Arabidopsis thaliana: one gene and its partners. The protein of the gene in region 2 purifies or fractionates together with the protein of the main gene of each other region. This does not show direct contact. Each region holds a gene or a part of one and is shown on either strand. Other genes may lie near its edges. The genes, in order: STRS1, RS40, AT4G31360 and RH8.

Region 1 (5,201 bases), on a different chromosome or scaffold from region 2:
AATAAGAAGAACAGTAGCAAACGTTGTCCAAATCACAACGATGGGCAGGAGAGCGGCTAGACTGCCAAACAAGATAGCTTGTGTGTCCAACAAGACTCGGGACTAATCCGGGATGTCCACGACTTTACGATGCAAAGAACATAGCTTAGAACAAACACTCATAAATACAAACTGTCAACCACATTCGCAACCCTATAACACTTTAGAGCCATGATCTAAGAACATTTAGCTATGAGAAAAATTAATAATTGCAACAATAAAATATATGTATTTTTATATAAGTCGACCCAAATAGATCGTATAACATCAACTAAGAAAAAATCATGTAAAATGTAAAATGTAAAATATCCATCTAAGGAGGAGCCATACCACTCACGTTGGCTTTATGCAGCCAAGAAGCATCAAAATAGCAAAAATACTTCCTCAATTAGTGTCATTAATATATTGAAGTGTCTGATCAATTAATGTTTCAAGAAAAAAGATAAAACCTTTTTTTCATCAAAGGAAAATAATATAACCTTTTTTGTGGACAAATAAAAGTTTAATAACTAGTAACACAAAATTGCATACAAATATAATGAAAATTCTGAAATATATTTGTTTTTGTTATTCGGGCCAAGCCCCAGACCACAAACGAAAATCAAATGCAGGTTTCATTGTCCAAGTAAATATAATAAAATAATGATACCATTAAAATAATAAACTAAGCTAGTCTTCGTCATCAGAATTATCGAATGTGATCTTCGTAGCTTTAGGAGCATCAGCAGCTATTTCTTTGAAATGAGCTCCATACAATTTTGATTCCTGCAATTTTTAATCAAACAAAACACTCATCAATCACTCCAGAATCCAGATGATGAAGAAGAAGAAGCAATTTGTGTGGAGAATCAAAAATGTGAGGGAAGAAAATCAAACCTTTTTCTTTACATGAGTGCCAAACTTCAAAAGATCAGCTGGCACTACTTGTCCTGCTTCCCTAAGAACATTCACAAGTTCTCCTGCAAGACCCTGTAAGGAAGATACGATCAAATTTGAATCATTTCCATTCTCAACAACTCTGTGGAAAGGATGTAGCTCAAAGAAATTTTTAAAAAGAGTGTTTTCAGTATTACCTTGTTCAGTGGCGTGAAGAAGGTGTGTGCAACGCCCTTTTTACCCGCTCTTCCTGTCCTCCCGATTCTGTGTACATAATCCTCTGTTGTTAAAGGGAAAGTGTAGTTTATCACAACTTCCACGTCCGGGATATCAAGCCCTCTTGCTGCAACATCAGTAGCCACCTGTAATTTATAAAACAGTGTCAATGCTCTGTTTCAGAACCAGTCAATGTATTTTTATTAGCCATGGAATTGCGGAATGATAAGAGTACGCATACCAGTAACGGGCAGGATCCTTCTTTGAACAATGATAAAGACCTGGTACGTTCGCTCTGTGCTTTGTTTCCGTGTATAGATACAGCTTTCCAACCTCTAAAATAGTTGAGTAAATATCGAATTTCATGAGCAATAATATCAAAGATCTTTTTCTCTTTAGTTGATGTGATTTGGGCTAAAAGATCAAACCTTTGCTGAAGAAAACGCTCGAGACGTTCAGCTTCCACCTTGTATAAAGCAAATACCAAAACCCTGTTCCTGAAAATACCAAAACGCTTGGTATTAGTATGTTGAAAAAGGAAAGATCTGGTAAGAGTTCAATGATTAAGTAGCAAATTTACTTTTGAGATTTATGGTATTTTTCTAGTAATGCAATGAGACGCTGATCACGCGCACGTTCATCCAAGACCTGCATTTGTAACCAAACCTTGTTAAGAGTATCATATAAAGGACAACACTACTTGCTATGAGGATGATCCGATAGAACATACCTCAATGATTTGCATAACGTCGTGGTTGGCAGCTAAGTCTACAGAACCTATGATCACCTGAAAGAAATTTGAATGATCATCGGAAATTTTAAGCAACTTGCAGGTGAGGAAAGACAAACTGAGGAGGAAAACAGACCTTGATTGGATTTGGATCCATGAATTCCTGGGCCAATTTGTGAACATCCAAAGGCCAAGTTGCACTGAACATAACCATTTGACGAACTATAAGACAGATAAGAAAGAAGAAGAGTTTTCATTACAATTTAGCACATATATCAAATTTGGCTTCTCACAAGAATGCTAAGTGAAATGTAAAAACCACCTGCCTTTATTTGTGTTACTCAATATAAACCGGACAGGTTCCTCGAAACCCATATCAAGCATTCGATCTGCTTCATCCAATACCTGACATGTAGGAACTTCTGTTACCATCTAATAACTCGAAAATATGATTCCCGTTGTTTCATTATAGGAGCAAGAAACGATGCAACGACTATGATGATGATCCTACGAGGCTAAGTCATCAAATAACATAATCAAAAGATGTTCTGCTGCTTACGACAAAGGAAACATCCGAGAGACGAAGCACATTAGACTCAATCAAGTCTCTCAAACGACCAGGCGTACCAATGACAATATCCTAACAAATAAATCAAGAAAAAACATTACTCAACTGATCCAGAAACATAAGAGAATGTCCTAATCAAAGAACATAATAAGAAATCTTACAACTCCAGATCGAATTGCACTTATTTGAGGCCCTTTAGAGCTTCCACCATACACACAAATCGATTTCAAACCACACGGTTCTCCAGCTTCACGCAAAACATCAGAAATCTACCAAACCACCAAAAACAAACACAACACTAAGAAACTTGACCATACGTTTTCATTTTCACATTGTAATCATAATGAACAAGAAACAATATATATACCTGAACAGCCAATTCTCGTGTAGGAGAAAGAACTAAACAAGTAGGATTAACCTTCTTTGATCCTCCACCAATCTTCTTATTTTTCTTCAACACATGCATAATCGCAGGAATCCCAAAAGCCAATGTCTTACCTAAATACACACAAAACACAAAAAGTTTCAATCTTTTCAACCAAAGTTCAAAACTTTCACACTTCCATAAACATTACTAACCTGACCCAGTTTTCGCAATCCCGATAAGATCACGCCCATCTAACAAAAACGGCCACGTATGTGACTGAATCGGAGACGGCTTCTCGAAAGTCTTACAACAATCTAAAACATTCTCCGGCAAATTCGATTCAGCAAAAGTCTTCAAAGCTGCGTACTTTGCTTCTTCCACACCTTTCCCAGTCACAACAACCTTCTGTTGTTCACTCTCTCCTTCTCCTAAATCCTCAGCTTCAAGCTTCTTCTCCGGGACATCCTTCTTCTTATTCTTCTCAGACTCTTTCTCCTCTCTCTTACGTTTCTTCTTCTTCTCTTTATTACTCAACTCTTCCTCTACACCATTAGTGACCTCTTGAGGCACTTCTTCGACTTCATGATTTTCCTCTGTATGTTTGTTCTTCTTGCTTTTCTTCTTCTTCTTGTTGGTCATCGGACTCTCGACGGCTAAAGGTTCGCCGGAGACGGGAAGCTCTTGCTTTTGTCCAGCCATTTCTTTGTTTCGTTTACAGGAGAGAGTTGTTGATGAAACGGCCGAACGAGAGTCCGTTGTTCAATTTAGGTTTTTAGGGTTTTAAAGCATTGCAAAAATATTTTCTACAATTGCAATTTTGCCTACATAGTTTTGGTTATTACATAGAGAGTCTAGACATCTCTTTTGTTAAAGTAAAACCCAAATTTAATTTGATTTGTAGATCGATAACAAGTCTTTAAAGCCTCCCGAACGTTGCATACCAACCGTCGGATAGGGGATGACCCATGGACGCGAAAGAGGACGTGAGACCCACTGGTAGGGGCGGTCGGGGCGTTACAGCAAAATCGCATGTGATTGTTACCAGCAATATGAGTGTAAGGCAATTTTTGGATGTGAAGTATACAACGATGAATCTGAATTTATTTCTGTCCCTTGACCCCATTGTTGATGACAACCAGAACACACTGATTAAAAAGGACTGCTCCGGTCGGGTGGATAAAGACAAAGGGATAGTAGGCGATGCACAAGTCTTTTATACTAATGGCTTCAAAATGTCTGCTATGGTAACAAAACACACCAACCGGAGTTACCTCAACAATCCGACAAGTATAAGGAGAAAATTGTTTGACGACGCTGGTGTTAAGGGTTCTAATGGTGTTGTGCGATTTCACTCTGTAGAAACATCCAACGTTGTGACCATTTCTGTTGTGAATGATTTCTACAACAACGAGATGGGTGACGATGGTGTTACCAATGTTACTGGCATTATAAGACTTGCAAGGAGCACAAACGGAGATTCAAATTGATGATTAAAATCATTCGACGGTTAAAAGTCAAATTGAGGTTAGTTTTGATGATCAGTTCTCATGTTTGGTTCTTCACAAATAACATAATAGAGCTTTAATTGCGAAATTGATGAATTTTCATATGGAATTTTGAGTTGTTTATGTGTCATCAAACATGGAGGTAAATGTAGTTGTGCTTATGTGTATTTTGATTTTGTCGCTGATACATAAAAACCTTAATATTTTTCATCAAATATAGAAAATAGAAGGGTGCAAATTGTAATAAACAAAAGATTGATCTAAAACCCAATGGGCTTATTAGCCTTACATCCATATCCAAACAGACCCATTTTTCTCACTTATCTCACCGATGTGCCTCGCCGGAGACGCCGTCGTTAGGACATGATAAGATTCTGAAATGATCGTTTCCATCTGGTCGGATTGCTCCTGCTTTTTTTCTCCTTTGCCGTAGACTACGGAGGGAAACCAATATAATGGTAAAGTTTCGAGCTTTGTGTTTTGTTTCCGCCGGAGAATTATACAATTTACTGCTGAGAAAAGAGAACATTTTAATCATATTCTCTTTTTAATTCGTGATGAGAAGGAGTTAATTTGTTAGCCTATTGAGTGCTTATAATGCTACTATAAAAAGAGCTATTGATGTTCTGAAACTTAACAATGCAGAGTAATCTGAGATCATGGTCATGGACAAGCACTTTGGAGGCTCCATGAAATTACAGATAGAAAACTCAAGGTACCATCTCTTTTTACTTCTCGATGTTTAGTTAAATTAGTTTGGTTGTGTTCAAAGTTCTTAAGAGTTTAGACAGATACCAGAGTGACAGTAGTCATGCCTTAGAGTAACAGTGAACAAACAGAGAACAAAGGACTACTTTTGTTTTGTTTTTTAATTTCAAAGCATCCCCGAATAGACCTAGA
Region 2 (5,003 bases):
AAAGGCGAATTTTTCATAACACTCGAAAGCCCTATACTATCAGACGAGCATATCTCAAAGGGTAAAACTTACCAACAAAAGACTAAAACTTCAAATCCAATGGGCAACTCAAATCAAAACCCAGAAAGTTTCAACCAAGTAGACTCTCTCGACTTGCACGAATCCCAACGATCAGAAAATTGGAGAAACCCAGTAGACAAAGAGATCATTAAACTCTACAGCAGCATTTTACTTGGTAACAAATATACTAAAGCAGACGACCAATGTAGGCAGAACTATAAGTCTATTTGTAGCCAATATTTATATTTGAGTCAAAGGTTAGGGACTAGTTCGAACGTTGACAAGAGGCGTTTAGAGTAGTTTTTAGACCCAATTAAGTCAATAGAACCGTTCTTGCCTTCCATAATTTCGGCGTACCATTTAAGTTACTTAACGATGCGTTCGATTTTGTCACTCTCAAGGTGTTTCGATGCAAGATGTTTTGAGGTTCGCATCTTATTGTCACGGGAAAGCATTACATGATTGGGGTTCAAACTGAGAGGTGATAAAAAAAAACGGAAATGTAGTAACTTGACATAAGTTTTTCAATCCGACAATAAAAGTGATCCGAGTTCGAATCTATCAAAAACCAAACGACAAAAACTAATCACGACGACATAGCGTTGTTGACTACAAACAGTTACAACATCCTACTTTGATAGAGATTGTGGATCCACTCTTATCACTCGTCAGCTGGTGGCGAACGAGGAGACCGGCTGCAACAACAAGAGAAATGGTTTACGATTCATGTCATCAATAATATATAAACAAGTATCGACCTATTTCAGAATCTAACCTCTTCTGCATTGGGCTCTCTGCACCATCATACCCACCATCACTGTCTCTTCTTCCTATTGACCCAGGGCTTTCAACTTGGCCATTCTCGGGGCTAGACCTCGATCTCTCTCTCCTTTCAATGGGACTTTCAACTTCACCAACCCCATTTCTCGGACTCTCCTTCTTGAACGGGCTGTGATTAGGGCTCATCCTCTCTCTCTTGTTGTTGGGACTGCGGCTGTACTTAGTAGGGCTTGCGACTCTCTCCCTCCTGCGAGGGCTATCATTGCCTCTGCGGTCACGACCATACTCGGGACTGCCACGTCTTGATTTCTTGTAAGGACTTGGGCTACGTCTTCGACCATAGTCAGGACTGGTCCTTTCCTTTCTGTAGGCAGCAACAGGACTAGCTCCTCGGCCATAATCAGGGCTTCCTCTTTCTCTTTTGTAAGGACTAGGTGATCGCCTTCTCCTTTCAGGTGACCTATCACGGCGTCTTTCAGGACTGTGTCCATTTCCTCTAGCATCATCATCCTTCACAGCATACTCCACCGAGATCACCTTATCCATCAGCTTACTGAATGAAAACACAGATGAAACGTGAGTCTAAGAAAGGAAAGTGATTAGATACTAAAATGGACAGAACAAACCTGTTATTTGAAGCATCCAATGCTCTGGTGGCATCCTCTTGTGCCTCGTACTGGATAAATGCAAAATTCCTCCTGATCCTAACGTTTACGATCTTTCCATACGGCTCAAAGTGTTTCTCTAGATCCCGGGTCCTAGTATTATCCGCATCAAAGTTAATCACAAAGAGAGTCTTGGAAGGTCTCATGCTGGATGAGGATCTCCTTGAACCACCACCAGATCTTTTATCACCTCCACGTTCACTCTATATACACAGAACCATTTATGTTATCAGTATTTCAAACCTCATAACTAAGTCTGGAAAGAAATAAATCCTGGGGTAAGTATCCTACCTTTGTCCATTCAACACGAAGTCTGCGTCCCTTACGCCCAAATTCAAAGCGGTCAAGTGCTCGGATGGCATCTTCCGCATCCCTTTCATCTTCCATGTATACAAAAGCAAACCCTGGAGAAAAAAGAAAAAGCCAAAAGCAAAGATCTGAGTACATTAACAGTGAGGAAGTGGACCAGATTAAGAACCTTCAACATACACGAACACTGTCCTCCCTCCTTCAACGCCTAACTTAACTCCTAGAACATATTAAATTTTGAACATTCCTAGAACCTTAAAAAAACTCCAAATGACCAGTGAAGCAGTTACAGACCTTGCATTATGGAATTAATATGTCAAGGAACAACTGAAAATGTGGAAGTCAGACGGGGATATGAATGAAAATAGAGAGCCTTCTCCATTGCAGAGGCATGTCCAAGTGTGCAAAGTGATGAGGAATGAAATGCAATTAAGATGGCAGTGCTAATGCGGATGGAAAGTGACTGATTTTGAGGGATAAGAGATGGATTTCCCTATGGTCCATTCATGGCCAGGTGTGAGTATAGGCGTCCCAAGATTATCAAACACATCCTGCGTCAAAGAAAATGCGGTTTTACACTAATTTTTTTTCTAAAAATCTTATTCCTCTGAAGTACTTTCCAAAGTTCAAGCAGGCTGCATCAGGTGGCCAGGTGAATGTGGTCAATGTTTAGTACTCCTTCCAAAGGGAGATAGTCCACCAGAGCCTTCTCGTGGATGGAATGAAGACGAGAGTGGATTTCATGAAATGCATTTGAATTTCGCTTTTTCATTGTACTTAGTGGATAACAATACTGCTTATTATAATTCATTCAGGTTAACCACAAAGACAGAGTAGTAAGAGGCAGAAGAAAGAAAGAAAGAAAAAAAAGGCTCACCAGCTTTCATATCAACCCTCTCAACCTTGCCGTATTTCCTGAATAGTCGTTCCAGGTCACCTTCGCGCGCATCATACTCAAAGTTCCCACAGAAGACTGGCTTCATGCTTCCTGTATAGACAACCACAATAGTAAAAAAGATTCATGAGACTTCCTTAAATGATAATTTAAACACGAATATCACAACTAATTTGTCACCAAGATGAAAACTTTTAACACTAAAAACTAGAGCCCTCACACTAAATCGAATTGTTTTGCAGTAAATTAGGACTTGAAACTCATCTATTCGAGCTCCAAATCAGTTAAATCTAGGAACTGAACTAGACAGTATTAGAATCAAAAGTACAATGCAACAGATCTAATCTAACTACAGTTAGATCTGAATATCATTCACAAGATAGAGAAAACGAGAACAATCCACGAAAGCATGAATCTTTCATACCAGAAAAACAAAGAAGGCTCTGATGAGATTCAACTTATAAAAAACGAGATGGACCAATTCTCTTGTTCTACTTTTCACCAACCAAAAAAAAAAGAAGGAAGAAGGAGATGAGAACCACGACGATATAGAGAGTGAATAAACTGCATCAATTTACCTGTAGAATGATTTTGGCAGGCGTAGTCGCGTGGAAGCCCTAGAAGAAGAAGAAGCTCGCGTCGAGAGATAGGTGAAACTGAAAACAGAGTTAGGTACGATTTAGATAAAGAAGGCAAGAGAGATCATTTGGATTTTTATTTTATTTTCTTTTCTTTTTAGTTTCAAAGATATTTTTTTCAGAACACATTTTGACTTTCTTATTTTGTCTGAAGGACGAGAAGTCGAGAACGTCTACTTTTTAGGAGTATTGGGCCTATATGTTAAACAAATTATAAGAAGCCCAACAAGTAAACAAAATTGAAGCTGCTTTCTAAAAAAACAAAACAATAACAGATTATGAAGACAAACAAATATTAGATTTTTTAATTTTGATTAGAATATACTGATTAATAGAACTAGAACATGTATCACATAACATCTACACAATGAATAATGCATACAAGTTTTTAAAAAGTCTTGCAACTTAACACTCTCAAGATCCCACATGTCAAGTTTTGGATTCGATGAAACATATGAGTTTGTTAGTAAGTTTAATAATTGTTGTTATAAAGAAATGTGTATATTTATATATTACAATTAATTAAATAAATTGTTTTCCTCTTCATTGGATTGCTTCACTTATGTTAAGAGTTTAGTAGTTGCTTTCAAGGCCGAATGATATGTGGCCACGAACATATCATCACACGTGGAATGAGAACGAGTTTCGACTTTTCAAATATGCCATAAAGCCTCAATTATCTTCTTATCTCGCTTGAATATGCAACAAAAAGCTATTAAGATATTCATAAAATAGAGGCGTCTCAAATCTACCAACAAAAAGCTACAAAAGATCCAGTCCAATCCACTGAAGAATCCCAAAACAGAGTAGAAACCCAAACAACCCGATTCAGCAAATAATTCAAAAACGAACGTCCGTACGATTTTCCAAAAACAGAAAGATGGGTTCCACAAGATAATGCGTGGGGACGTCAAAATCCTCTAAACCCGTGGTTCGGCCGCGGAAACACTGTCCCTACCTTCCCCACCAGCCTTCACTGGCCCCATACGTCACTCTCAAGCTTTACTTTCTATTTTCCACTAAAGCCAATTTTGTTGTTTTCTTCACCTTACCACTCTTTTTTTCCCTCTTTGTTGTGTCTTCTTTTCTCCTAAATGTCAATAACGTGAGAGCGAGAGGTAACGAGAGAGATATTTTTGTCAGCGAATATATTTCATGCATATCTTATTGTGAAGATTTTTTATACCTTTTTTTTGTCAATACAATATAGCTATTATTGAGATTGAGATATTTTGTGGGAATTATTGGGATTCAAGATAACTTGCTATTTTGTATTGGTCTAATCCTTCGCTTAGTCCTGTCCTGGTCCATTTACATGTTTTTGGTTATAGTTTGTTTAAACTGAATAATTTTGTTCATCATATGCATTTATGACTCATTTTTAACCGTCCATCGAAATTGATAATTATCCATTACCAAATCTGATTAATTTTTTTAAAAAATCAAGCTTTTCTATATTGTAGTATTATTTTTGGTTAAATATTAGGACATCTACTTCCAATACAAATACTACATGAGTATTTAAAATATCATTTCACAGAGATATTTATGTCTATTATGTTATAGACGGGTGACAATTAATGACAATTTGTTTATTCATAGGAATTTAAAAACGATTGTAACAACAGCAGCCAGCCAACCACACAGGCACACACT
Region 3 (4,027 bases), 2.2 Mb from region 2:
ATAGTGGCTCCTGGACTCAGCCTTGCAATTTTCCCACCTCCACCACCATACGTTCATGTAGCTCCATATCCAACTCCCATGGATGCTTCAGTGGTTCCAGCTCCAGGACCAGCTGCTGATGACAATTCCCCAGATTCTGCTGTCCCAAAAACTCCACCTGCACCTGCAACAGACACACCAGAGGCTGATTCTCCAGCTCCTGCTCCAAGCGCCGATAATGAGAAGATTGAAGCTGCTGATAAGGCTAAACCATCTTCTTCTGCTTCTAAGGCTGGTTGGAGCTTTGATGTTATTCTCTTGTTAGCATTTTTGGCTAGCTTTGCTGGGTTCTAAGATTCGGGTGATGTGGGTTAAAGACAATAATGGTAGGTGAGATTCAAAACAATTTTTCTGTAGCTTTTAGCCAAGAAGAGAGACACGGCCATTGGAAGTGAAAGAAACCTAAATGTAATGAGCTTTCTACTCATCATGCATTGTATTTATCAGCCATTTTGAATGCAAATGTGATGTTTGTCCTATTGATTTTGTAACACAGTTCTAATTGTGTTAGAACATGCTTTAACCAGTGCATAGATTGTTAGAACCATGCATGGTCCCAACAACAAAAAACACTTATGCATCGGTTTGCTTCAAGCAACGAGATGAATAATAAACTAGCCTTACAAATACGAGTTAACCCCAAAAACTACAGAGATCCTTCTCTATCAACTAATCATGCATTGCCAAACGACGAGACTGCACTTACAGTGCTCATACCGAAACAATAAAAGTGAACCTAACAAATCTGACATTACTCTAGAAAGTCTTCTGCAGAAACCTAATTGATTAAACTGAGACCGAGGCAGAAACAAAGAACAGATTCATTTGACTTTCTTTATGATGTCCTCGATGACTTCTTCCATATCAAGTGCCTTCATTGGTGCAAATGGACGTTTCATCTCCTACAAAATGAGATAAACATAATCTACATCTTTAGGTCTATGTTAAGATTGAAAGGCAAAAACATATTCATGATTTCTACTCACAATAACACATTTCTCGTAATGAATAAGGATCAAGTTGATTTTCATTCTCATATGCATATAGAGCAAGTGGTGTTATGAGAATTAGTAATAACAATAAACCTTACTCAAACTGAACAAATCATATGCAGAAGCGAGACAAATTGAGATTTGTTTTTATTAGAATGAAAGTTTTTACCAAAAGACTGATGAATGTTTGGCCACCTTCCTCCCGGATCTCAAAGCAACCCCGCCTTGGCTGTTCAAGCACATCAAAAGAAAGAATTAGTAATTTAGAAGAAAATCTTATCAAGTATAATGTGAAAAGTATGCTCTAACGCATTAGTCAAAACGGAGCATTCATGACGATATATTCATCTGCAGTAAAAGCATTACCTTTTCAGGATTAAGAGACACCGTGACGCCAGGAACAGCTCCCTCCAAAGCTTCCTTCACCTGAATAGCTCTTGTCTTGAAAGCATTGCATTGTTTACTTCAATAACATCACAAAACAAAACAAAAAAGAACTCTTGTGAGACATAAGTATAGAAGCAAATTCCATTTATAGAATGAACACGTCCATTACGCATTGCAATTCAGCTAAAGCAAGACAAGAACACAAACAGAAAGCAGATAGTCAAGTCCTCTTCACAAATGCGAGCAAAACATAAACCACTAATCACTCAAACCAAAAACTTATGCAGAATCAAGATGAAAACCTAACACATTGTTCCACCCTAGCAAATAAACCTTAGCTGCTACACACGGACACACAAGTCTCAACACATACCCCAAAGTTGTAGGCTTTTAGATTCAATTTCAAAGAAAAAAACCTAAATTTTTGCTCTTATGATTCCAAACATTATCTCTAAAGAAATCGAAAACATTTACGCAAAAATTACCAGTGTTCTATAACAATCTTGGTTCTCGTAGGGTCCTCAACCTCTGGCTCTTCCTTCTCAACCTCCTCCTCAACGGCTTCCTCTGGCTCTTCAACTTCCTCTTCCTTCTTTCCCTTCTTGGCTCTCCCAGTCTCAATCGCTGAATTCTTCCTCTTAGCCTTCTTCGTCGCCGGCTTAGTGGCGGATCCAGCCGCTTTAGCACCGTTTTGTTGAGTCTGACTTCGAGTTCGACTGTCCATGCTCCGAGTCACTCTAGACGACGCCAACGTCGTTAAAGGTTTCGCCTTTTCTTCTCCATCTGCCTTACTCTTCTTCGGCGGCATTGTACGGACAGCAACAGGGTTTCGTCTTAACAATCTTCTTCTCCTTCTTCTCCGTCTCTGTCTTACCGCTCTTTCTTACTTTTTTGTTGTTTGATATTCCCTTTTGTGTTTGCTTTTTTCTTACCTTGGAAAAGTAATTCGAATAAACGGTAGAGATTTAACCTACAAGGGTTATTAAAAGGTTGACCGTTAGATTGCAGGGGTTATGATTATGTATTCTCAATGCCCAATAGTGCGCTACTGCTGTATCACACGACACATCCACGTGCTTCGAAACGCTGTGGTGTTTTGCCTCTAAAACGCACAACTACTTACCGTTTTGATTGGATAGAATGATTTTATTTTAATTCCACTTCTCTTTTTTACCTACATTATTTTGATTCCAATTCATTTGGCTTTTTCTAAACTCAAAATAAACTGAAACACTTTATCATATTTATTAAGAAATATTGATTTTCTGATACATAAAGTAAGATAAAAGTCTGTATATCCTTCTAGCTTTTTAGCATTTTGGTCACTGCGGACAATTTTAAGAGATTTTACTAAAAGTATCGTCCAATCCTTTTGTAGGTTTTTATGACTCAAGCCATCAATCCAAATTTCCAATATATGATGATAGTTGAAGTATTTGGATGTAGTAATGCTAAAATGTAATATGTTAATAAGTCGCATACTCATGGTGAACAAACATTCATCCATTATGGTGACATTTTTGTTTGTTTGTTTGTATAATAAAATGCAGGGGGAAGCTTTTGCAACAATGTGTGCATGTTGGAGAAATCTCAGTTAGCACTTTCACAACCAAGCTCCATGGGAAGATCTTTTGGACCTAAATATTTTAGAACTTGTTCATCACATCACAACCATCATCTTCAGTCTTCACTGTTACTCTATTTGTCTGTCTTTCACATATTAGCAAGTTGGTGAAATCTTGATTGGTTGATCCTGATCCCATAACAAATTACACTAATCTCACACAACGACGAACCCTCTTACAAGGTTGGTAGCATGCTAAACGTATGGAAAAATTTGGGAATCTTTTCTAAAAAAATAAGAAACTTGTATATATTTTTTTTCAACACAAACTTGTATTCTAAATCTACATAACGATGTAAAAACAAGTTGAATTTGTGGAATCGCTAACTATCAATGACGGGATCCAAAACCGGTTATTCAACATCGTCTTGTAAATTTATTATCCAAATTTCCATTGTTTAAAATCTGGTCTTGTAAATTTATTATCCAAACATAACCCAACATCGTCCATTATTATCCAACTCTGTCTAAACACTGAAACAAGAAACCGAACATGATCCATATGTCTAGAGATTTTTGAACTGTGGGTACCAAAGAAGGATCAATGTTCTAATCTCAAGTCTCAATCTAAAGTTTGAAGTCGTGGGTACCATTTTTCATCAACCAAAACATAAGCCAATCCAATCCAATCTTTTGTCTAAAGGATTGGTTACTTCGAACCTCAAGTCTCTGACTATTTTAAGCCGTGGGTAACTTGATCTTTGTCTAAAGACTGACACAAGAGACCGAACATGATCCATATGTCTAAAGATATTCAAGCCGTGGGTACCAAAAGAATCAATGTTGGAATCTCAAGTTTCAGTTCACTCGAAAGACTAAAGTTTAAAGCCGTGGGTACCATTTTCCTTGCACCAAACATAACCAAATCCAATCTTTTTGACAAAAGATTGGTTACTTTCGAACCTCGAGTCTCTGTCTAAAGACATAATGTTTTAAGCCGTGGGTATTCTTTTGTCTAAAGATTGAAACAAGACACCGAACATGA
Region 4 (6,992 bases), about 13 Mb from region 2:
GTGTTACATCACTATAAATAGACCTAAATGTGCATTTAACTAGCAACTAGAACTTAAAGCCTGAAACTCATTCTCAATCAAATGGAGCCAAATATTCCGATCCAAAGAGGTAACTCATATCACAGAGTTTTAGTATTGTTTAGTTTCATGTTGTATCTTAATTTTTAGTTTATACCTACTACATACCACATAGGAGATGAGCAGTCAAAAGTTATTAAGGCATGGAAGGAACTAAAGATAACAAAGGTCAATAACAAGTAAGTCACAACACAAACACTTTTCAGCGTCGTTTCAGTACCACTGTGACAGATTCTCTGATTGCAGGACTCAGAAGAAGCTACTAGATATTTCAGGATGGGAGAAAAAGAAAACTACAAAGATCGAATCTGAACTCGCTAGAATTCAGGTGATTCCACAAAAGACATCTACCAATTCCTAATATATGATCTATGTACTCATGTATGCTTAAGACTGTTCTACTGCTGTAGCCTGTAGTGTATGATCAAAAACATGAATCTATCTAAACAGCAAGTTAACCAAATGGTACAAGACTATGAAACATGACATTTCATGTCGTCAAAGAACTAACATACAGACGAAAAAATTGTTGTTTTCTACAGCGGAAGATGGACAGTAAGAAGATGGAGAAATCTGAGAAACTAAGGAACGAAAAAGCGGCAGTTCATGCAAAGGCACAAAAGAAGAAGGCAGATGTTCAAACCAGACGGGCTCAAGAGATCCTTGATGCGGAAGAAGCTGCTGCTAGGTTTCAAGCCGCAGGAAAGATACCCAAGAAGTCATCTTTGAGCTGCTTCTGAGATCAGCACTAACCTGTGATACAGATTATCACCTATCTCCGGTATCCTATGTTCATACTTGTATCTTTTGTATGTTGTGTGTTTTGCTTGTGTTGCTCATAAAACAAGAGAGTGCAAAATTCATTGTCCATTGTCCACAGACCAAATCCTGAACTAATCTACCTATTGACAACACAAAACATGCTAAAATAAAATCAGCAACCTGTGTAAATGGAAAAAAAGGAAAATCTCATCTTAAGGTCTCAAAGACTTATTATTGAAGTTGGAAAGCTGGAAAAGGATCATGAAAGAGTCATGAAACCACAGCTCCTTGAAGACGCATCACAACACTGTAACCACTGATCAGTCTACGGCATAGAAAGAAACAATAGCTCAAACGACTTGTTAAAACTAAATAAAAGACTTCACTTTTGTAATACTACCCGGTATTTCAAACCTTTTAGCCTTGACTATAGTTAATCTTTAAAAATAAAGGAATCCCAAAGACGCAGAAAAAAACATTATGGAGGTAAGAGGCAGAATGTGAAGCCTTTTTGGGTTGTCCTTGTCCTGCATGGCTAGATAAGACAACTGTCTAACCATGGCTTCAACCAACCTGAAACATTGCACAAATCCAAATAATATATTAGGGGCCTCTTAAATGAGGAAGCAAACCCAAATCAAAAGAATTTTTCTAGCGTAAGTGGCAAAAGAACAATGAATAGGCCTATATGCATCAACCATATGAACTTATGTCCTCGAAATATGTAACTTAATGTATGCCTTGAATTATGTAATGTGGTGTTATGATTACGATAGTTGAAATTCCATCTTTGATCTTTCCAACAAGACTCTGTATTGTGTATACATTAAAACAAATTATCCTAGAGAATCTTGAGGTTACATGAAGTAAGTGACTCCGAAAGTAGGAACAATTCAAGCCTGTCCATAAGTAGATACTACGTACCACTTATTACTGATTCACCTAACAGCAGACCAAGGTGGTTTACCCTTGGTTATTGGCAATAAATTGCCTGATCGATATGTGGAGGAATTTGCTTGATCTCCGTTCCAAGCTCTTGCTCAATCCGGTAACTACAAAAATGTAACACAAAGGTTATTCTATGCTGTAGAAAACAATAGTACAAACCAGTCAAGAGAAAAATACATACAGGTTAAATCGATCTTCATAGGTGATAAGATTCACAGCTAGACCAAGATGGCCAAACCTTCCTGATCGTCCAACCTGAACAGAGACCAGATATTAAAATCAATTACCATCAATCAACATGTAGGAATCTAGTATCATGTGGACATTTGGTTTTTAGCTTACCCTATGGAGATAAGTTTCAGCATTCTTTGGGAAATCAAAGTTTATCACCACATTGACGGCTTGAATGTCAATACCACGTGTGAACAAGTCTGCAGCAACCATCATTAAATCATAAACTATTCAGGTAGAGGACATAGCTGATTTCGCAAAGTCAAAATATTAAAACCAGTATAAGTTGTCCCTCTAAAGCCTCAACTAAAGCCACTATTGGGGTCTAAGAGGTAGATAATTTAGTATTTGATTCATTGTGCTCCTGCAATAGCAGCATGATAACACTAAGGCATACCAGTACACACGAGATTACGGCATGCACCATTCCGGAAGTCATGGAACACTCTGTTTCGGTGGTCTTGAAGCATCTTTGCATGGATGTAAAAGCATGAATACCCAAGTTCTGTGATTTTCTTGGCTAAGAGCTCCACACGATTTACAGAATTGCAGAATATGATTGATTGGTTAATTTGCAGCTGCAGGAGAAGAAGAGAGTAAAATGCCAGCTAAGGAAAGAAACAAAAACAATCAATGTAGTTCAGATCTAACCTTGGAGAATAGTGTATTCAAGCAATGAATTTTCTGTCTTTCTTCAACGAAAGCATAGAATTGGGTAATACCCTTGAGCGTAAGTTCATCCATGAGATTGATGACGTAAGGATTCGTCAGAAACCTATCCTTAAAATCCTTGACAGTGACAGGGAAGGTGGCTGAGAACATCAAAATCTGACGACTTTCTGGAAGAAAGCTAATCAAATGTTCCACTGAAGGTTGGAACTCTTGAGACAAAAGCTTGTCAGCCTGATGAATGATCCATAATTAAATTAAATTGGGAGTAACATGAACAATTTTGCTACAGGTTGCAAATAGTGAAAAAAGATAGATAGAAAGAAATTTCAAAGAAAAAAAAATACAAAGTAAGCATCCAACATTTACCTCATCCATAACAAGCACCGAACAATCTTTTAAAACACAAACACCTTTCTTGGTAAGATCCAGAATTCTCCCAGGAGTTCCTACCAGTAAATGAACAGGCTGATACAAACGCATGATATCGTCTTTCAGACTGGTGCCACCAGTGGTCACCATGACTTGAATCTTCAAATGCTTACCCAGCTCTTTACAGACCTGTGATGTCTGAAGGGCTAACTCTCGAGTCGGAACAATTATAACAGCTGCGTACAAGAAAGGTATTGACGGTAAACTAAGTTAGAAAGGAAGCAGTAAACCTTTAAGAAACATATTAGGCTACTGATAGAAGCAATGGGTTTAGAGGCTCAAAGGATTCATTACGATTTACATTCACTAAGTTTTATACAGTAACTAGTGTTTATTGTGGATCAATAATCTATTTACGACGCCAGCTTTGGTATTCTGTTCTTATTAGCTATGAAAAATCACTAGCTAGACGATGTCAAAACTTCAGATTCTTTAATAGCATTGCACCACGTGAAAGAATCAACTAACAACATGGTCCAGTACACAGTTACCTTGAATAACGTTGTTATCTTGGTCAATTTTTTCCAAGACAGGAATACAAAAGGCGGCGGTCTTTCCAGTCCCGTTCTTTGCTCTGGCAAGGATATCTCTACCAGTTAAGGCAATTGGAATACTCTCTTCCTGAATAGGAGAAGGTCTTTCAAAACCCTTCTCATATATTCCCATGAGAAGCTCCCGTTTCAAAAAGTAATCTTCAAACTCGTTCCCTTTGGTGGCTGTCACATCCTAAATATGATAACAAGTAACGAATTGTGAACATCTCATCCCATGCAACCAAGAATCAATTCAGTTTCACAAATAGATTCTCACGCAGTTTAAGTATTGAGAAACAAATTTAACAAGTATTTAGGTATTACGCTTAAGAACACCTTTAAGTCACACCAATATAGCACACGAAACAGCAAAAATAAAGAGTGAATGCATCCTAATTTACTCTATTTCGTCAAAATATGGAACATTACCTCTGTTCTGTATCGAGTATCAGGTGCAGGTAGTTTTAGCCTTGCTTTCCAATCTTCCGAGCTGAAGAGAAATTAGATTGTAAAGGTTATCAAACGCACAAAAGTGAAACCAACACTAAGCAGTTCAATACCATGGTAACGTAAGAAACAAGGAATTATCACTTCAAATGAAAATAATCACATCCCAGATTTAACTAAGTAGTCCAAGCTTGAACAGCACTCACTTTGGGTCGATAACTTCGGATTGAACAGTTTTCTCAACTTCTACAACAGCGTCACCGTTACTGTTACCGCCGGGGATCTGACCTCTTCGAAGCCATTGTTGTTGTTGCTGCTGTTGCTGTTGGTATTGATGCGGCTGAGACGGCGCTTGTTGAAACTGTTGTTGGTGATTCTGAGCGTAATTACCGCGTTGAACGTATTGGGGCGGCGGATGTTGTTGATAACCCGACCGTGATTGGTAATTAGGGTTAGGGTTAAAGGCTCCACGGCCAGCGCCAATTCCAGGAGGGTACCTTCCTCGATTGTTCATCACAAACCTCTAAACACTAATAACCAAAAACTCTGACTAAGGAAGGGATCTGTACACCAAGAATACCAAAAAGGAACTAGGGTTTTCTACGGTAATACACAACCTAGGGTAATGTCGGAATTTTGAAAAAAAAATCTCGGTTTAGTTACAGAGAAAAAAATAAACTCTTCCGGAGAAATCTAGGGTTTGAAAAATCACAAAATCGGAGATAGAGAGTAGCAGATCTGGGAGTTTATAATCCAAAATGAAGCGAAATTCTGGGATTGATATTTTTCGAAAAAGGTCCACGCGAGGAAGAAAGCGAGACAGAGAGAGATCAAAAGGGTCAATAATATAGAGACGAAGCCAGAGTTCTCGCGTGAGACAGAGAGACAGAGAGACAGAAAGATGATTATCTCTATGTAATATTATAATGTTTGTGATTTCGTCGGATTTCGTTAGCGGTATTGGGCTTGGGCTTGAGCCTTGTGGTAATTAAAACGGAGTTTTAAGTTTTCATTTCTTTCTTTCTGAAATTTATAAAATTACACATTACTTCCTTTTCCTTACATATTTACCCTAACTTAATTAAAGTTTTCAGTCTGACCCCAAAAATCTATCTTTCAGCTTCTAAAGCTGTTTTTAGCTCAAGATTAACGCTATGCAAGATGTTACAAACACCACCTGGTCGTCATAGAGTATCCATCCAATTTCAGAGTATTTCTCTAATGTTTTTATACTTCATCAGAATTGCACTTGATCCATCTATGCACTGGATTTGTGACAAGTGATGACATCTTCCTCGTTTGCTGTGTCATCTGCTTTTATTCATTATACCTGATTATGTCTCAAATATGATTCTTCAAACACTACCAAAATTATATGTTGAGTATTCAATATGCGACCGAGATTATGGAATTTCAAACTTTCACAATTAATAGGTTTCTACTTTCACACAAATTAGGCCTAGTTTATTTCATCAGTTAACATTTACATCCAAATTTTTTATAGCGACTACATATCTACCAATATGTTATGATTATTGAAATAATTTGAATAATAAAGAGAAAATAATTTGACCAAAAGTAAGCATAAATTAAGCAAAAAATAAGTAAAATACGTCTATATAATAGAAAAGTTCACTTTCGATCTACGATGTCTACATCAACATCCAAGTCATCATATTGTGGCCTGCCTAAATTTTATTTATTGAAATCAAAACATTACAGCTAAAATTAATTCACACATTAAATAAAACAATAATTGACAAAATTAAATTAAATATTATAAAAAATTAAAAAATAAATACACAACATAAACTATGAAATTTTTTATATCAGTGTTAAGAAAATTAAAATAGATTGAACAAAAAAAATAAAGTGAACAAAAAACTATCATAAACATCACAAATAAAAATAAAAATTCTATGAATACGTAGGCTTTTTACAGTCTCTCGACCGACACGTCGACATTCACAGAATGGTGAAGATGTTTCTAGTAAGACCGTGGGGTGATTTATCAACGGTGGTGATTATGGAATCTTAAATGGATGTTTTGATAGATCCAGTGGGATGGACTCCATGAAATAGCAGCACTAGTGGGGATTTGTCCACATTGTTCTACCGCGAATATCAAAACAAAGGCCCCAGAGCAAACGCAAGCCAGAGAGTCCATCCGAATGGGAACAAGATCATCACAGACCCGATGGAAGCAGTCATGTTTACGGTTAGAGAGTTCATAAATAGAGATTCGTGGCTCAACGCCACCGGAGTTCCATACAACGAGGGTTAATGATTAAAGAGAAATTGTAAAAAATGTTCTTCCAAAATTATCATTTTTTAATTATAACCTTTCCTGTTAGTCATTTTCATTTATACGTTAATTTAATTTTTAATGACTATTTTACTCATATTTTGAAAATATTTTAGGTTAACAAAATAGAATATCGATTTTTTTCGCCAAAAATATTCCGAAAATAATTTTTCTGTCAATTTTTTTTTTCCAAAAACATTTTTCCCGTTTTTGTTTTGGCGATAAATAGATTTGTAAATGGTTTTAAAAGTAAGGAAATGTGATAGATTACAATGATTTTTAAATGTAAATTGGTGGGAATTGTTTTGATGGGAAAAATAAAAAATTTGTAAGGAAATTGTTTTTTGGCATTGGTAGAAAATAGAGATTGAGACCTAAGTCGAGCAAGTTCCACAATTATTGGGCTTAGATCAATCGCCGTAGAGTTAATACTATACGAAAAAGACCAAAATTGGTCTCTTGGTAATGGGCTTTATTCTCAAGTATGTATATGTATGTTTCTCGTAAACGACATCGTTATAGTAGAATTAGGGCTTAATAACGATGTCGTTTCAAATCTTTCCAAAAGGACCAAAATTAGCCCTCTT

What was found.
Region 1: the proteins of RS40 (region 2) and STRS1 fractionate together in Arabidopsis thaliana (co-fractionation; one large-scale study listed by BioGRID). This does not show direct contact.
Region 3: the proteins of RS40 (region 2) and AT4G31360 fractionate together in Arabidopsis thaliana (co-fractionation; one large-scale study listed by BioGRID). This does not show direct contact.
Region 4: the proteins of RS40 (region 2) and RH8 fractionate together in Arabidopsis thaliana (co-fractionation; one large-scale study listed by BioGRID). This does not show direct contact.

The regions. Positions count from the first base shown.
Region 1 is NC_003070.9:11,478,215-11,483,415, reverse strand, and holds STRS1 (DEA(D/H)-box RNA helicase family protein), read right to left. Parts: upstream 3,654-5,201; 5' UTR 3,496-3,653; coding exon 3,009-3,495; intron 2,928-3,008; coding exon 2,797-2,927; intron 2,699-2,796; coding exon 2,591-2,698; intron 2,502-2,590; coding exon 2,421-2,501; intron 2,267-2,420; coding exon 2,188-2,266; intron 2,084-2,187; coding exon 1,998-2,083; intron 1,919-1,997; coding exon 1,862-1,918; intron 1,780-1,861; coding exon 1,712-1,779; intron 1,629-1,711; coding exon 1,560-1,628; intron 1,467-1,559; coding exon 1,373-1,466; intron 1,278-1,372; coding exon 1,113-1,277; intron 1,009-1,112; coding exon 916-1,008; intron 805-915; coding exon 709-804; 3' UTR 526-708; downstream 1-525. Other genes in the region: AT1G31960 (uncharacterized protein), read left to right, coding at 3,762-4,283. UniProt on the Arabidopsis thaliana protein: ATP-dependent RNA helicase required for 60S ribosomal subunit synthesis. Involved in efficient pre-rRNA processing, predominantly at site A3, which is necessary for the normal formation of 25S and 5.8S rRNAs.
Region 2 is NC_003075.7:13,022,962-13,027,964, reverse strand, and holds RS40 (arginine/serine-rich splicing factor 35), read right to left. Parts: upstream 3,468-5,003; 5' UTR 3,288-3,467; intron 3,201-3,287; exon of another isoform or gene 3,134-3,200; intron 3,011-3,133; exon of another isoform or gene 2,803-3,010; 5' UTR 2,798-2,802; coding exon 2,692-2,797; exon of another isoform or gene 2,116-2,691; coding exon of another isoform or gene 2,109-2,115; exon of another isoform or gene 1,953-2,108; coding exon of another isoform or gene 1,910-1,952; coding exon 1,797-1,909; intron 1,709-1,796; coding exon 1,467-1,708; intron 1,394-1,466; coding exon 836-1,393; intron 756-835; coding exon 722-755; 3' UTR 525-721; downstream 1-524. Other genes in the region: AT4G25510 (uncharacterized protein), read left to right, coding at 1-317, 462-522. UniProt on the Arabidopsis thaliana protein: Required for constitutive and alternative pre-mRNA splicing. Involved in primary miRNA processing and pri-miRNA biogenesis. Binds both intronless and intron-containing pri-miRNAs.
Region 3 is NC_003075.7:15,220,144-15,224,170, reverse strand, and holds AT4G31360 (selenium binding protein), read right to left. Parts: upstream 2,329-4,027; 5' UTR 2,227-2,328; coding exon 1,904-2,226; intron 1,495-1,903; coding exon 1,398-1,494; intron 1,261-1,397; coding exon 1,201-1,260; intron 942-1,200; coding exon 861-941; 3' UTR 544-860; downstream 1-543. Other genes in the region: FLA5 (FASCICLIN-like arabinogalactan protein 5 precursor), read left to right, coding at 1-333.
Region 4 is NC_003075.7:272,260-279,251, reverse strand, and holds RH8 (RNAhelicase-like 8), read right to left. Parts: upstream 5,001-6,992; 5' UTR 4,615-5,000; coding exon 4,307-4,614; intron 4,144-4,306; coding exon 4,083-4,143; intron 3,847-4,082; coding exon 3,612-3,846; intron 3,297-3,611; coding exon 3,058-3,296; intron 2,923-3,057; coding exon 2,671-2,922; intron 2,598-2,670; coding exon 2,417-2,597; intron 2,220-2,416; coding exon 2,131-2,219; intron 2,044-2,130; coding exon 1,970-2,043; intron 1,893-1,969; coding exon 1,814-1,892; 3' UTR 1,808-1,813; exon of another isoform or gene 1,573-1,807; intron 1,414-1,572; 3' UTR 819-1,413; coding exon of another isoform or gene 621-818; 3' UTR 515-620; downstream 1-514. Other genes in the region: AT4G00670 (Remorin family protein), read left to right, coding at 82-109, 194-257, 325-406, 621-818. UniProt on the Arabidopsis thaliana protein: ATP-dependent RNA helicase involved in mRNA turnover, and more specifically in mRNA decapping.